2 linked regions of the Macaca fascicularis genome follow. The protein of the gene in region 2 purifies or fractionates together with the protein of the main gene of each other region. This does not show direct contact. Links are inferred from orthologs where the notes say so. Each region holds a gene or a part of one and is shown on either strand. Other genes may lie near its edges.

The links.
Region 1: the proteins of KRAS (region 2) and HSPD1 purify together in Homo sapiens (affinity purification with mass spectrometry; 3 studies listed by BioGRID and IntAct, with this or other methods). This does not show direct contact. The link is inferred for Macaca fascicularis from reciprocal best matches to the Homo sapiens genes KRAS and HSPD1.

Annotation. Positions count from the first base shown.
Region 1 is NC_088386.1:93,114,229-93,121,320, forward strand, and holds the start of HSPD1 (60 kDa heat shock protein, mitochondrial), read right to left. Parts: upstream 4,872-7,092; 5' UTR 4,719-4,871; intron 4,648-4,718; exon of another isoform or gene 4,558-4,647; intron 4,400-4,557; exon of another isoform or gene 4,341-4,399; intron 3,412-4,340; 5' UTR 3,410-3,411; coding exon 3,236-3,409; intron 1,941-3,235; coding exon 1,688-1,940; intron 1-1,687. Other genes in the region: HSPE1 (10 kDa heat shock protein, mitochondrial), read left to right, coding at 5,015-5,017, 5,652-5,816. UniProt on the Homo sapiens protein: Chaperonin implicated in mitochondrial protein import and macromolecular assembly. Together with Hsp10, facilitates the correct folding of imported proteins.
Region 2 is NC_088385.1:27,946,325-27,952,959, forward strand, and holds part of KRAS (GTPase KRas), read right to left. Parts: intron 3,570-6,635; coding exon 3,391-3,569; intron 1,932-3,390; coding exon 1,772-1,931; intron 1-1,771. UniProt on the Homo sapiens protein: Ras proteins bind GDP/GTP and possess intrinsic GTPase activity. Plays an important role in the regulation of cell proliferation.

The DNA of each region.
Region 1 (7,092 bases), on a different chromosome or scaffold from region 2:
GGATCGCGAGGTCAGGAGATCGAGACCATCCTGGCTAACCCGGTGAAACCCCGTCTCTACTAAAAAATACAAAAAACTAGCCGGGCGAGGTGGCGGGCGCCTGTAGTCCCATCTGCTCGGGAGGCTGAGGCAGGAGAATGGCGTGAACCCGGGAGGCGGAGCTTGCAGTGAGCTGAGATCCGGCCACTGCACTCCAGCCTGGGCTACAGAGCGAGACTCCGTCTCAAAAAAAAAAAAAAAAAAAAAAAAAATTGCTTTTAGTGAAGTGTAGTCACTTGGTCCATAAACATTGAAATATATGAGGTAATGATACATTAGTATGCCAATTCTGACAAAAAATTATCAATAGCTCCCCCACCTTCACTCACAAGAGGGTTCCTGGTTTCAACCCTAACATACGCTGGATATACACAGCAATTCTGCTGATAGGAAAACCAAGTCTTAGCACACAGCTAATAAATGACAAAGATGGGACTAGAATTTAAGTCTACACTGCCATGAAGTTCATGCTGAGGAGCAAATCTGTTAATTAAGTTGCACTCCAGTTACAAGCACTAACAAAACACAAACCAATAACACGGTGTGTGCTATTAAGAAAAAATAAACTAATGGGCCGGGCGCGGTGGCTCATGCCTGTAATCCCAGCACTTTGGGAGGCCGAGGCAGGCAGATCACGAGGTCAGGAGATCGAGACCATCCTGGCTAACACGGTGAAACCTCATCTCTACTAAAAAATAAAGAAAATTAGCTGGGCATGGTGGTGGGCACCTGTAGTCCCAGCTACTCGGGAGGCTGAGGCAGGAGGTTCACTTGGGAGGCGTGAACCTGGGAGGCGGAGCTTGCAGTAAGCGTAGATCACGCCACAGTACTCCAGCCTGGGGGACAGAGCGAGACTGTCTCAAAAAAATAAAAAAAAATAAACTGAGGAAAACATTACTTTCTGCCGGGCGCGGTGGCTCAAGCCTGTAATCCCAGCACTTTGGGAGGCCGAGACGGGCGGATCACGAGGTCAGGAGATCGAGACCATCCTGGCTAACACCGTGAAACCCCGTCTCTACTAAAGAAATACAAAAAACTAGCCGGGCGAGGTGGCGGGCGCCTGTAGTCCCAGCTACTCTGGAGGCTGAGGCCGGAGAATGGCGTGAACCTGGGAGGCGGAGCTTGCAGTGAGCTGAGATCCGGCCACTGCACTCCAGCCTGGGCTACAGAGTGAGACTCCGTCTCAAAAAACAAAAAACAAAAAACAAAAAACATTACTTTCTGACATTCTGAATGATCCAGTGTATTCAATCTTACTTTCTACAAAACTAAACTAAAAATTAGCCAGGAATGGTGGTGAGTGCCTGTAGTAGTCCCAGCTACTTGGAGGCTGAAGCAGGAGGATTGCTTGAGTCCAGGAGTTCCAGTGCAGTCCAGCCTAGGCTACAGAGCAAGACCCTGTCTCTAAAAACAAAAGAAACCAACTAAGTAAAACATCAAAATTACCTAACAGTACCTACCCACCATACAGCCAGGCATTCAATCACTACTTGCTAAAGGAAAACCCAGTTTAAGATTTCTCCAGGCCAAGAGGAATGAGAGAAGGATCAATTTCCTAAAGTAACAGACACTCTCCTTAGCTCCAAGGAATCAATGCCTTAAAGCACACTGAAGTTTAGAACACTGTAGTGACAATAGACATTCCTACCTCTCCTGATTTCCACGGGATTAGCACCTTTGCTAATCTTCTCGAAGCCTTCCTTGGCTATAGAGCGTGCCAGTACAGTAGCAGTGGTAGTGCCATCCCCAGCCTCTTCATTTGTGTTATTGGCAACATCTTGAACAAGTTTAGCTCCAATGTTTTTATATTTATCCTTTAAGTCAATTGACTTTGCAACAGTCACACCATCTTTTGTTACTTTGGGACTTCCCCAGCTCTGCTCAATAATCACTGTTCTTCCCTACAAGAAAAAAAATGTAACAGGATCACACATACCCTAAGGATTACTTATATTTTAAAAAATGAGCAGTCTTCATAATAAAGCAACTACTTCAAAGTCTCCACATAAGTTGTGTCATTTTTATCAGTCTTGCAGCATGAATCTCAAGGGCAAGTTTATCGACATTCTTTGTCTACAGACAGAATGACCTGTTTCTCTGCCAAGAGCATAATTTTGAACTAAGTAATTTAGAAGATTAAAATACTAGGGACTAAAATTTGTCATCTTATAAAATGAACAAGAACACAAGACAAAGAATAAAACAATCTTCCTATCACTTATACCTAAGTTTTAGTTAGTGCCTGTTATCTTTTAAAGCAATGTGACTTGTTTTAAAATTCGTTTAAAATATTAACCATCAAGGCAAGTAGTGTGCTCTTCCAAGTTCACTCAACATACAACTTCAACCATGGCACAGTTATTGACCATCCTTTGGATTTGAACTAAAGCTGCTACTTTCTATTCGTGAGGTGTGCAAATGTTGTGTTTTATGCAGTTGTTTGGATCACTTGATATCTGAACTGTCTTCAAACTGAAATGAAGCACCACTTGACCGCACACCACCTTCAAAGCCCCCCTCAAAATATTACCCCTATTAAATGAGACTTATTTTAAATATGCTTCGGAACAAGAGAACAGCAGAAAACCGATAGGTAAAACTAGCATCTTGAGGTGGAGGAGAGAATGGGAAGCTACTGTATAATGAGTACAAAATTACAATTTTCCCATATAAAAAGTTTTGGAGATGGATGGTGGTGGTGACTGCACAACATAAATGTAATTAATGTCCCCATGTCCCCAAAGTGCACACTTAATGGTAATTTTATGTTGTGTACATTTTACAATAAACCAAAAAAAAAAAAAAAATTTAGCACCTACAAGCACATACCTGAGGGATTATGGAAGATAAGTTAAACTCTTCTCTCTACACTTGGCATGAACTACTCAGAAAGGATCCAAATTTTAACTTAGGCAAGCAAAATTCTACCTCGAGTTTAAGAATCCATCTTGAGCTATGTTACTACCCGATTACATCACACATTGAACAAACTAGTTTCGAAAATCTGGCTGAAGCAGTTTAAGCTTTAAGATCATGTCTAAGAAAAAAAAAGTTAACCAATACTTCAGAATTCTTACATGTAAACTGAGTTCTCAAAAATGGATACGAAAGTACTGTTCAACAGTTCAGTGCGACTATTTGTGAGCAAAATGCTATTAATACTACCATAATTATAATAAAATAAAAATACTGATACCTTTGGCCCCATTGTAACGGCCACAGCATCGGCTAAAAGGTCCACACCTTGAAGCATTAAGGCTCGGGCATCCGCACCAAATTTTACATCTTTGGCATAAGCCCGAGTGAGATGAGGAGCCAGTACTCTGGACACCGGTCTCATCTGGCGAAAGACTGTGGGTAACCGAAGCATTTCTGGGGATGGAAGCAAATAGATAATCAGTACTACCACCTATGATGCGCTGCAGCACAAACATGCGCACCTGTGCAACAGAGCAAGCAACGTGAGATGGTGAGCCTGGCTGACCTCTGCCAGCCACTACACCTGAATGACGGAAGGCGCCGCAGCTTCGGAACATCAGCCACTACCGCAAGCTAAAGAGCCGCCCCGGCGCCTGACCTATAGCACTAGCACAAAGCACATGCAGCTCCTTCCCCACGGCCACCTATCCCTGCCGCCAAAAACGAGTTAATCTTTCACCGCGAAAACGGCCTTGTGGGCAGACCCACTCCAACTGTGGCCCCTGAGAAACCAAGTCAGCCGGAGAGAGGCAAGTTACAAATCCCAGTGACCAGGGAAGCTGAAAGTATTCCTGGCGGTGCAAAAAGCAGCTCAGCAAAGTATCTCCATGGATCCACCCAAGGCTACTGTATCAGAGCAGCCAGCAAGGCCGCGATGCTGGGGGCGGCGGCCCGGCCCACTCGGCGCGGGCCCACGTCTTTCCGAACGCCCCCAGCAAGGTCAAGAGTGAAGGCGCGGTATCCCAGCTAGCTGCGGGGGAAAAAAGCGGTTCCCTCGCGTACACCACCCTCCCCGGTTCCCCGAAGTCGACCAGGCGCGGGTTGCACCAGCGGGCCTAAGTGGCTACAATCCCCCAAATTCAATCCCCGTGAGTTGTCCCTCCTGCGCCCAGCCGAGGTCCAGGATCCGCGTCGCACGTGATGGAACCCGCATGGACCCGGGAGGCCTGGACCCGGGAGGCCTGGACCCGTGGGCCTGGGCCTGCGGTGCGGTGCAGAACTCCAGGTTGTCGTCGCCCGCATCCTCCAGCAGGACCTCAGAGGAGGAAGGCCCACTTGGGGGTCGCAGGCGCCGGGGAAGGCGGCGTGGGAAGGCCGCATACCTGCGGGGCGGCGGCGGGGCGTGCGCGCGGCGAGACAAGTCGTCGGCGGCGAGTGAGGGACAGAGTGCAGGGCGCACACGGCAATGAGCCCGTGTCCCCTCCCTCCGCCTCTCCCCCCGCCCCGGGGCACCACGTGTGCAGGCAGCTCCCACCCCCTTCCCGTCAGCCGGGCCCCTGCAATCTGCACACCCTGCGCGCGAGCCCCGCCCCTCCCTACCCGCGCAGGGTGTGCTAGCGCGCTCAGCCCTCTCCCGCCGGCTTAGGCTAGTTCCCGGGCCGCGCTCAGTTCCAGAACTTTCCGGAAAGTGCCGCGCTCCCTACGGGTCAAGGGTAAAATCGCGTCATTTCCGGGAGGGGACGAAGGGGTAGTTCTTTCACCTCGGCTGGGCGCCTAGAAAAGCCTAGAAACAGCTCCTCTTTTCTTCCGCCTCCGAGTCTTCGCGTCAGCGGCCTGCGCAGGGCCCTTGGGGCGAATCGCGGCGCGCGTCGGGGCGACCGCCCTTTCTCGCGGGGAGGGGCGAGGGGGCTAGCGGCGGGGGTTGGGGCGAGCGCGCCTGCGCGCTGGGCGGTTTTTTCACGTGTCGCCAGGGCTGCGCCGCGAGTCTCTCCTTGCCGCGAGTCTCTCCTTGCGGCGCTACACTAGAGCAGAGTACGAGTCTGAGGCGGAGGGAGTCATGGTGAGTCCCGCGTGGCACCGAAGCCCGCAGGCCCGGGCCTGTCTGAGGCGTACGGGGATCACTGACGCCCCTCTTTTGTTGGGCTAGGCGGGAGGGATTGGTGGCCACTCAGTGACCAGCGCCCGCCGGCACCTTGGAGCGGCAAGGCCTGCCCGACCCTTTTCTTCTCCGGGGGCTCTTTGCACGCGCGTGTGCTGCGGGTGTGTAAGGCAGGTGGCGGGAACCCGGATGCAAGCGCAGCGTCCCACCTGCTCTGCAGGGCCTTTGTGGATGTGTAATATCTTGGGTAAAAAGCATGGTGCCAGGCAGGGAGATTGACCCAGCGTTTCTTGAAAATTTCTGGAAAACCCTGAAGAAGGAAAACATTTGACCTTGGATAAACTAAGGTTGACCTTAAAGCTGGTCTGGTTGCTCACCAGAGGAGCGACAACGACCCTTAACAGATGTAAGGAATCGGGAATTAAACTTGGAATATTGGTTAGTACATTCAAATGCGTTTCCTTAACGAATAAGCTGAGGTTTGGTGTTAACTTTCGAAGCCAAAACGTGTTGAGATGTATACAACACGGTGGCGTTGCCTGTTGATAATATGATTACATTTAGTTTTTGTTTCAAAACATTTCTCTTCCTACAGGCAGGACAAGCGTTTAGAAAGTTTCTTCCACTCTTTGACCGAGTATTGGTTGAAAGGAGTGCTGCTGAAACTGTAACCAAAGGAGGCATTATGCTTCCAGAAAAATCTCAAGGAAAAGTATTGCAAGCAACAGTAGTCGCTGTTGGATCGGGTTCTAAAGGAAAGGTAAATGGGGGCTGCGGTGGAACTATTTTTTCTATAGTGTGCAGTGGAGGGAAAAGGAGTAATTCTGGAGTATTAAAAGTCTCCTATTAGGTAGAATTTATGTCATGTCCAAGATAATTAACTGCTTTGGTTCTAATCTGTTTCTTAAAGGGAAATGACTAATATAAAGTTGCTTATTTTATATGACCAATGCTATGATGTTTATTTTATGTGATAGTTTCGAGTATTAAAAATTGTCTTCAATACGCCGGGCGCTGTGGCTCACGCCTGTAATCCCAACACTTTGGGAGGCCGAAGTGGGCGGATCACAAGGTCAGGAGTTCAAGACCAGCCTGACCAACATGGTGAAACCCTGTCTCTACTAAAGATAGAAAAATTAGCCGGGTGTGCTGGCATCCGCCTGTAATCCCAGCTACTGGGGAGGCTGAGGCAGGAGAATCATTTGAACCCTGGAGGCGGAGGTTGCAGGGAGCCGAGATCCCGCCACTGCATTCCAGCCTGTGCGACAGGGCAAGACTCCGTCTCAAAAAGAAAAAAGCCTTCAATAGCAATTTGGTAGCCTAGTATGATCAGTGTTTGCCTTACATTCTAAATTTTTAATAAGACAAAAGATGCTATGCATGGTGACTCACACCTATAATCCTTGCATTTTGGGAGGCCAAAGCAAGAGGATCATTTGAGCTCAGGAGTTCGAAACCAGTCTGGGCAACATAGTGAGACCTAGTATCTAAACAAATAAATAAATAAAGACAAAAGATGTGCTTCAAGGTAAAATGAGGGGGCATTTAAGAATTGAGAGGAGGCCGGGCGCGGTGGCTCAAGCCTGTAATCCCAGCACTTTGGGAGGCCGAGGCGGGCGGATCACAAGGTCAGGAGATCGAGACCACAGTGAAACCCCGTCTCTACTAAAAATACAAAAAATTAGCCGGGCGCGGTGGCGGGCGCTTGTAGTCCCAGCTACTCAGGAGGCTGAGGCAGGAGAATGGCGGGAACCCGGGAGGCGGAGCTTGCAGTGAGCCAAGATCGCGCCACTGCACTCCAGCCTGGGCAACAGCGTGAGACTCTGTCTCAAAAAAAAAAAAAAAAAAAAAAAAAGAATTGAGAGGAATCTTGGACTATTCGTTTAACCCCTAACACATTGACATTGCCCTAATCTTAACCAGTTGGGGCCTTAGTTGGTGTACCTATCCGAGGAACAGGTTGGTTAGTCTTGTCCAACCTGCAGCCCAGGACAGCTTTGAATGCCACCTAACACAAATCCCTAAACTTTCTTAAA
Region 2 (6,635 bases):
TAATGGAGTTTAAAAGTTCCTATTGCCTAGTGATGTTATAGCCATCCTAACATTGTAGCACAACACATTACTCACGTGTTTGTGGTGATGCTGGTGTAAACAAACTTACCACACTGCCAGTTGTATAATGGTATAGCACCTACAATTATACACCATACTTAATATTTGATAATGGTAATAAGTGACTATTACTGGTTTATGTATTTACCATACTATTTATTGTTATTTTAGTGTACTCCTTCTATTTACTTAAAAAAAAAAAAGTTAACTATAAACAGCCTTGGATAGGTCCTTCAGGAGGTATTCCAAAAGTTATTATAGGAGATGACAGCTCCATGTGTGTTACTGCCCCTGAAGACCTTCCAGTGGGACAAGATGTGGAAGTGAAGACAATGATATTGATGGTCCTGACCCTGTGTAGGCCTAGGCTAATGTGCATGCATGTCTTAGTTTTTAACAAAAAGTTTAATGAGTAAAAAAAAATAAAAAATGTTAAATATGGAAAAAAACTTATTACAGAATAAGGATACAAAGAAAGAAAAATTTTGTATAGCTGTATAATGTGTGTTTTAAGCTGTATTACAAAAGTCAAAATGTTAGGAAAAATTTTAAAGTTTATTTTAAAAGTTACAGGAAAGTAAGGTTAATTTATTACTGAACAAGAAATTTAAAAAAAAAATAAACTTAGGGTAGCCCAAGTGTATATTTATACACACAAAATTTACCATTGTGTTAACAATTGCCTATAGTCATTACCACAGTTACACACCGTACAGATTTGTATCCCTGGGGCAAGAGACTGTACTATATATCCCAGGTGTATAGTAGGTTATACCACCAAGGTTTGTGTAAGTATACTCTATGATGTTTGCACAATGACAAAAATCACCTAACAATGTATTTCTTAGAAAGTATCCCTGTCATTAAGAGACATATGACTATATATAACAATTAATTCCTTCCTATCTTTATGTATTCATTTCCTGTATGTTAAACTCTTCATACAAACAGGTTAAATAACACTAACTGAAATTATTTTATTTTACCTAAAGAAAAAGTCATTTTTAAAACAAAGATGATTTTTGAAACAAAATTCCCTCTGACAACAATTTTTGGAAAATTTCATTAAATGAATAACAGAATTTCTATTTGCTTTCTGGGTATTTTCTTTCTTTAATGAGACCTTTCTCCAAAAATAAACATATCCTCAAAAAAATTCATTAAATGAATTTTTTTATTCATTTAATGTCAGAAAAATTCATTAAATGAATAACAGAATTTCTATTTGCTTTCTGGGTATTTTCTTTCTTTAATGAGACCTTTCTCCAAAAATAAACATATCCTCAAAAAAATTCTGCCAAAATAAAATTCTTCAAATGCAACAACATTTAACCTAGAAACACGACATAATGGTTTAAAAGTACTACTGAAATAGAAAATTCAAAAATGTGTTGCCTTGTTCTTTGTGTGTGTTTGTATATATACAAACACACAACAGTGGGGAAAAAAATCCCCACATCTCTTGAATTCTAAATGTTAACATGTGCTCAGAATTGAAGAGAAATTTTCAATGTAGAAAGAAACCAAAGCCAAAAGCAGTATCAAGGACACTGTAAGAAGCAATGCCCTCTCAAGAGACAAAAACATTTACTAAATACATATTGTTTTATTTCCTAGTATAGCATAATTGAGAGAAAAACTGATATATTAAACGACATAACAGTTAGGATTGTGCAGAAAATAGATCTGTATTTATTTCAGTGTTACTTACCTGTCTTGTCTTTGCTGATGTTTCAATAAAAGGAATTCCGTAACTTCTTGCTAAGTCCTGAGCCTGTTTTGTGTCTACTGTTCTAGAAGGCAAATCACATTTATTTCCTACTAGGACCATAGGTACATCTTCAGAGTCCTTAACTCTTTTAATTTGTTCTCTGGGAAAGAAAAAAAAGTTATAGCAGAGGCATTAGTAACACAAGTATCTTTCAAAACCTGTCCATAACTTTTGTCATAAAATTTGGGTGAAAGAAAACAATGTAATTCCTGGTTTCCACTATACCAAATTTTCCTTCCTTCCTTTACTAATTATTTTTTTCTTTACCTTTTTAAAGAGAAACCTTGTCTCTCTCTCACAAGATCAAATACCTAGAAGTATAGTAAAACTATAACCTAATAGGTTAATATGCAGGTAGATCATAATAGTAAAACAGAAACTACTGAAAAATTCTAGACCCAAAGTGCTATATAACAGACTATAATTTTAGAAACATATGTTAAATGCGTAAAGATAAAAAATATTTTTACAAAAACCTGAATTAAAGCATTAACATAATTTTCATATTACTGTCTCAAAAAACAAAGTTGACAAGTAGATTTTGATTTCTAGGTAGAAAACATTGAAGTTACTACACCACTTATTCCATTAAAAGCCCTTCTACATGTTAATCATTTTCAATATAACAAGTGCATAAACTCTAAATTTGGGGTGAAATTATATTCCCTCACAATTTTAGGTGACTTTCAAAGATGCAGCACAAAAGAAGGAGCAGAGCAGACAACAGAGTCAGAATTGGCTCAAATTCCCAGTTCCTCCACTATTAGCTGGGTAAGCTTGGATAATAGAGGTGAAATTTGGTAACTCCTCTATAAAAATACTACCACTACCACCCACCCGAATGTCTTCTGCTCTATTACTAGACTACACAGTAAACATGCTATAACAATGTTCTTAAATAAAATGTTAAACTTCTTATAACTAGGCTAACTCATTATTACATGACATAGCCAGTGAGTAATTTATTTGCCTAATATGTAGTTTTAGGAAAACTAAACCCTCAAAGAAGCAGAATATAAAATAGTACAATAATGATTATTTTAATAGTTTTATGCAGCTTTGTCAGATTTAAGAAAACTGTAATGCCCGAATTCTTCAATCTTTCAAAACTTTTATTTTTTAAAATGTATAATGCCACTCTTTATCCAATCCAAGCAATTCTACACTATACACACGATTGCTTTTAAGAATGTTAAAGTAACACCATCTCAAATCACCTTTTCATATTCTTTTTTATGGTTTTCCTTTTTAATGATGCATCTAAAAAGTTTAAAGTCTTGCTTTTTCAGTGTAGAAGAGTCAAGAGTACAGAAGGTTGTGGAGTCAAACAGGCCTAGGTTTGAATCCCAGCACACCACTACTGATGCAGTCTGGAGTAAGCTACTCCACTGCTCTAATCCCCCAAGAACTTCATTTATAAAGCAGGGATATTACCTACCTCACAAAAATTATTTTAATATTTTTATTAGATATTATACGCATGGCATTAGCAAAGACTCAATAAATAAAAACTATAATTACTCCTTAATGTCAACTTATTATATTCAATTTAAACCCACCTATAATGGTGAATATCTTCAAATGATTTAGTATTATTTATGGCAAATACACAAAGAAAGCCCTCCCCAGTCCTCATGTACTGGTCCCTCATTGCACTGTACTCCTCTTGACCTGCTGTGTCGAGAATATCCAAGAGACAGGTTTCTCCATCAATTACTACTTGCTTCCTGTAGGAATCCTGAGAAGGGAGAAACACAGTCTGGATTATTACAGTGCACCTTTTACTTTAAAAAAGGTGTTATATACAACTCAACAACAACAAAAAATCCAATTTAAAAACGGGCAAAGGACTTGCCAAAGACAATGCTCCAAAGATGACAGACAAATGGCCACTAAGCACCTAAAAAGCTGCTCAACATCATCAATCGTCAGGAAAATAAAATCAAAACCATGAGATGCTACCACATACCCATTAGAATTGGCTATTATTAAAAAACAAAACAAAAACACTCAAAAAACGGAAAATAAGTGTTAGCAAGGATACAGACACTGAAATCTTTGTGCATTGCTGGTGGGAATGTAAAATGGTGATGCCATTGTGGAAAACAGTGGTAGTTCCTCAAAAAGTCAAACACAGAATTACCATATGATCAGTAATTCCATTCCTAAATATATAATCAACAGAACCAAAAACAGGGACTCAAACAGATACCTGTACACCGATGTTCACAGCAGCACTATTTATAATACACAAAATGTAGAAATAACTTATGTGTCTGTTAACGGATGAATGGATAAACAAAATGTAGTATATACATACAGTGGAACATTATTCAGCCATAAAAAGGAATAAAATTTCATATAGGTTGAGCATTAATGCAGGTTAATCCAAAAATCTGAAATCCAAAATGCTCCAAAATCTGTAACTTTTAGAGCCTGACATGATGCTAAAAAGAAATACTCACTGGAGCATTTGATTTTGGATTTTTTTTTTCCTTCATCTTTTTTTTTTTTGGAGAGATAGGGTCTTACGTTGCTCAGGCTGGTGTTGAACTCATGGGCTCAAGCGAACCTCCTGCCTTGGCCACCCAAAATGGTGGGATTACAAGCATGAGCCACTGGGCTCCATCTGATTTTGGATTTTTGGATTAGGGATGCTGAACCAGTTAAGTATCTACAAATATTCCAAAATCAAAAAAAACAAAATCTGAAATCCAAACCACTTCTGGTCACAAGCATTTTGGGTAACGGATGCTTCAACCTGTATTTACATGCTACAACACAGATGAACCTTAAAAACATTATGCTAAATGAAATAAGTCAGACACAAAGGACAAATATCACATAATTCCAGTTATATGAGGAACCTAAAACAGGCAAATTCAAAAAGATGAAAAGTAGACTAGAGATTACCAGGGACTGGGGGAGGGAGGATTACTGGGGACTATTTAACAGGTATAGAATTCTAGTTTGGGATGATAAAAAAAGTTCTCAAAACAGATGGTGCTAATGGTTAGACAACATGGTGATGGTTGCACAACATTATGAACACACTTAAGGTCACTGAAGTGAACACTTAAAAATAACTACCATGGGCCGGGCGCATCACGAGGTCAGGAGATCAAGACCATCCTGGCCAACATGGTGAAACCCCGTCTCTACTAAAATACAAAAAATAGGCCTGGCGTGGTGGCATGTGCCTGTAGTCCCAGCTACTCAGGAGGCTGAGGCAGGGGAATTACTTGAGCCCGGGAGGTGGAGGCTGCAGTAAGAGATTGCTCTACTGCACTCCATCCTGGCAACAGAGCAAGACTCCGTCTTAAAAAACAAAACAAACAAACAAAAAACTACCATAGTAAATTTTATGTTATGTATATCTTACCACAAGAAAAAATGTTTTTAAGGTATTATATGGAGAGTCAACAATGCGAGTGTACATATTGGTAACAAAAAGTTATCGACAAAAGAAAATAATTTCAAAAATGGGATAGCTCTACCAACTCTATTATTGAAGATGATTTAAATGACAAGAAAAATCAATCAACTTATAAATAATTGTCATGCATCTATTTTATTTATTGTCAAAGGCATACATAAGGAAATGGTCAATACTCAAGATTCTAATGCCCTCATCCACCTCTGAAAACTGGAAAAAGGAATCTAACAGCCAGATGGATATCTCTAAAGAGCAATACTGTTTCATCTGCAAATCCTGAGGGACCTCTTTTTTTCTTTTCTAAAAAGAGAAAGAGAGAACTGTAACTATAAGATTGAGTAACAGAAGGGAGTGGGTAACATTAACAGAATCTTGAAATAAAAATCTGATTTTCTTCCGACTTTTGGCTAATACTTCTGCCTAAGATTTCACACATTCTGCCAAAACAGTCCTCAAAAAATACGGTAAAGGGATGTTACAATGTGAAGCCATGAAATAAGAGGTAGGGCTAACAACAGGTATAAAGCATAAACATAAAAACAATTATTTTCTTAATGTTCCACATGTGGGCTATAGTATTAATGTATCTTTTGTTGTTGTTGTTGTTGTTGTTGTTTTGAGATGGAGTCTCGCTCTGTTGCCTAGGCTGGAGTGCAGAGGCGCAATCTCGGCACACTACAACCTCTGCCTCCTGGGTTCAAGCAATTCTCCTGCCTCAGCCTCTTGAGTAGCTGGGATTCTAGGCGCATGCCACCACGTCCAGCTAATTTTTGTATTTTTTTTTTTTAGTAGAAATGGGGTTTCACCATGTTGGTCAGGCTGGTCTCTAACTCCTGACCTCATGATCCACACGCCTTGGCCTCCCAAAGTGCTGGGATTACTGGCATGAGCCACTGTGCCCAGCCTCTAAAGTATCTTTAGTTCATGAATTACTCTGTAGACCATTCTATCAGAGGCAGAAAAAGAGAAAGAAAGAATGGTCATTACAAATGTTGTTAGTAAAATATTTCAAAATGTTTACAGTATAAGGAGAACATAAAGATGTAAGTGCAGCATGATCACAATAATACGTATTTATATAAATGTATTATGTATTTAAAAATTGGTTAATATATACATCAAAATGTTATAAAGGTTATGTCTTTGATGGAGATAATTTAAAAGACATTTATCTCGGCCGGGTGTAATGGCTCACACCTGTAATCCCAGCACTTTTGGAGGCCAAGGTGGGCAGATCACCTGAGGTCGGGAGTTCGAGACCAGCCTGACCAACATGGAGAAACCCCATCTCTACTAAACATACAAAATTAGCCGGGCCTGGTGGTGCATGCCTGTAATCCCAACTACTCGGGAGGCTGAGGCAGGAGA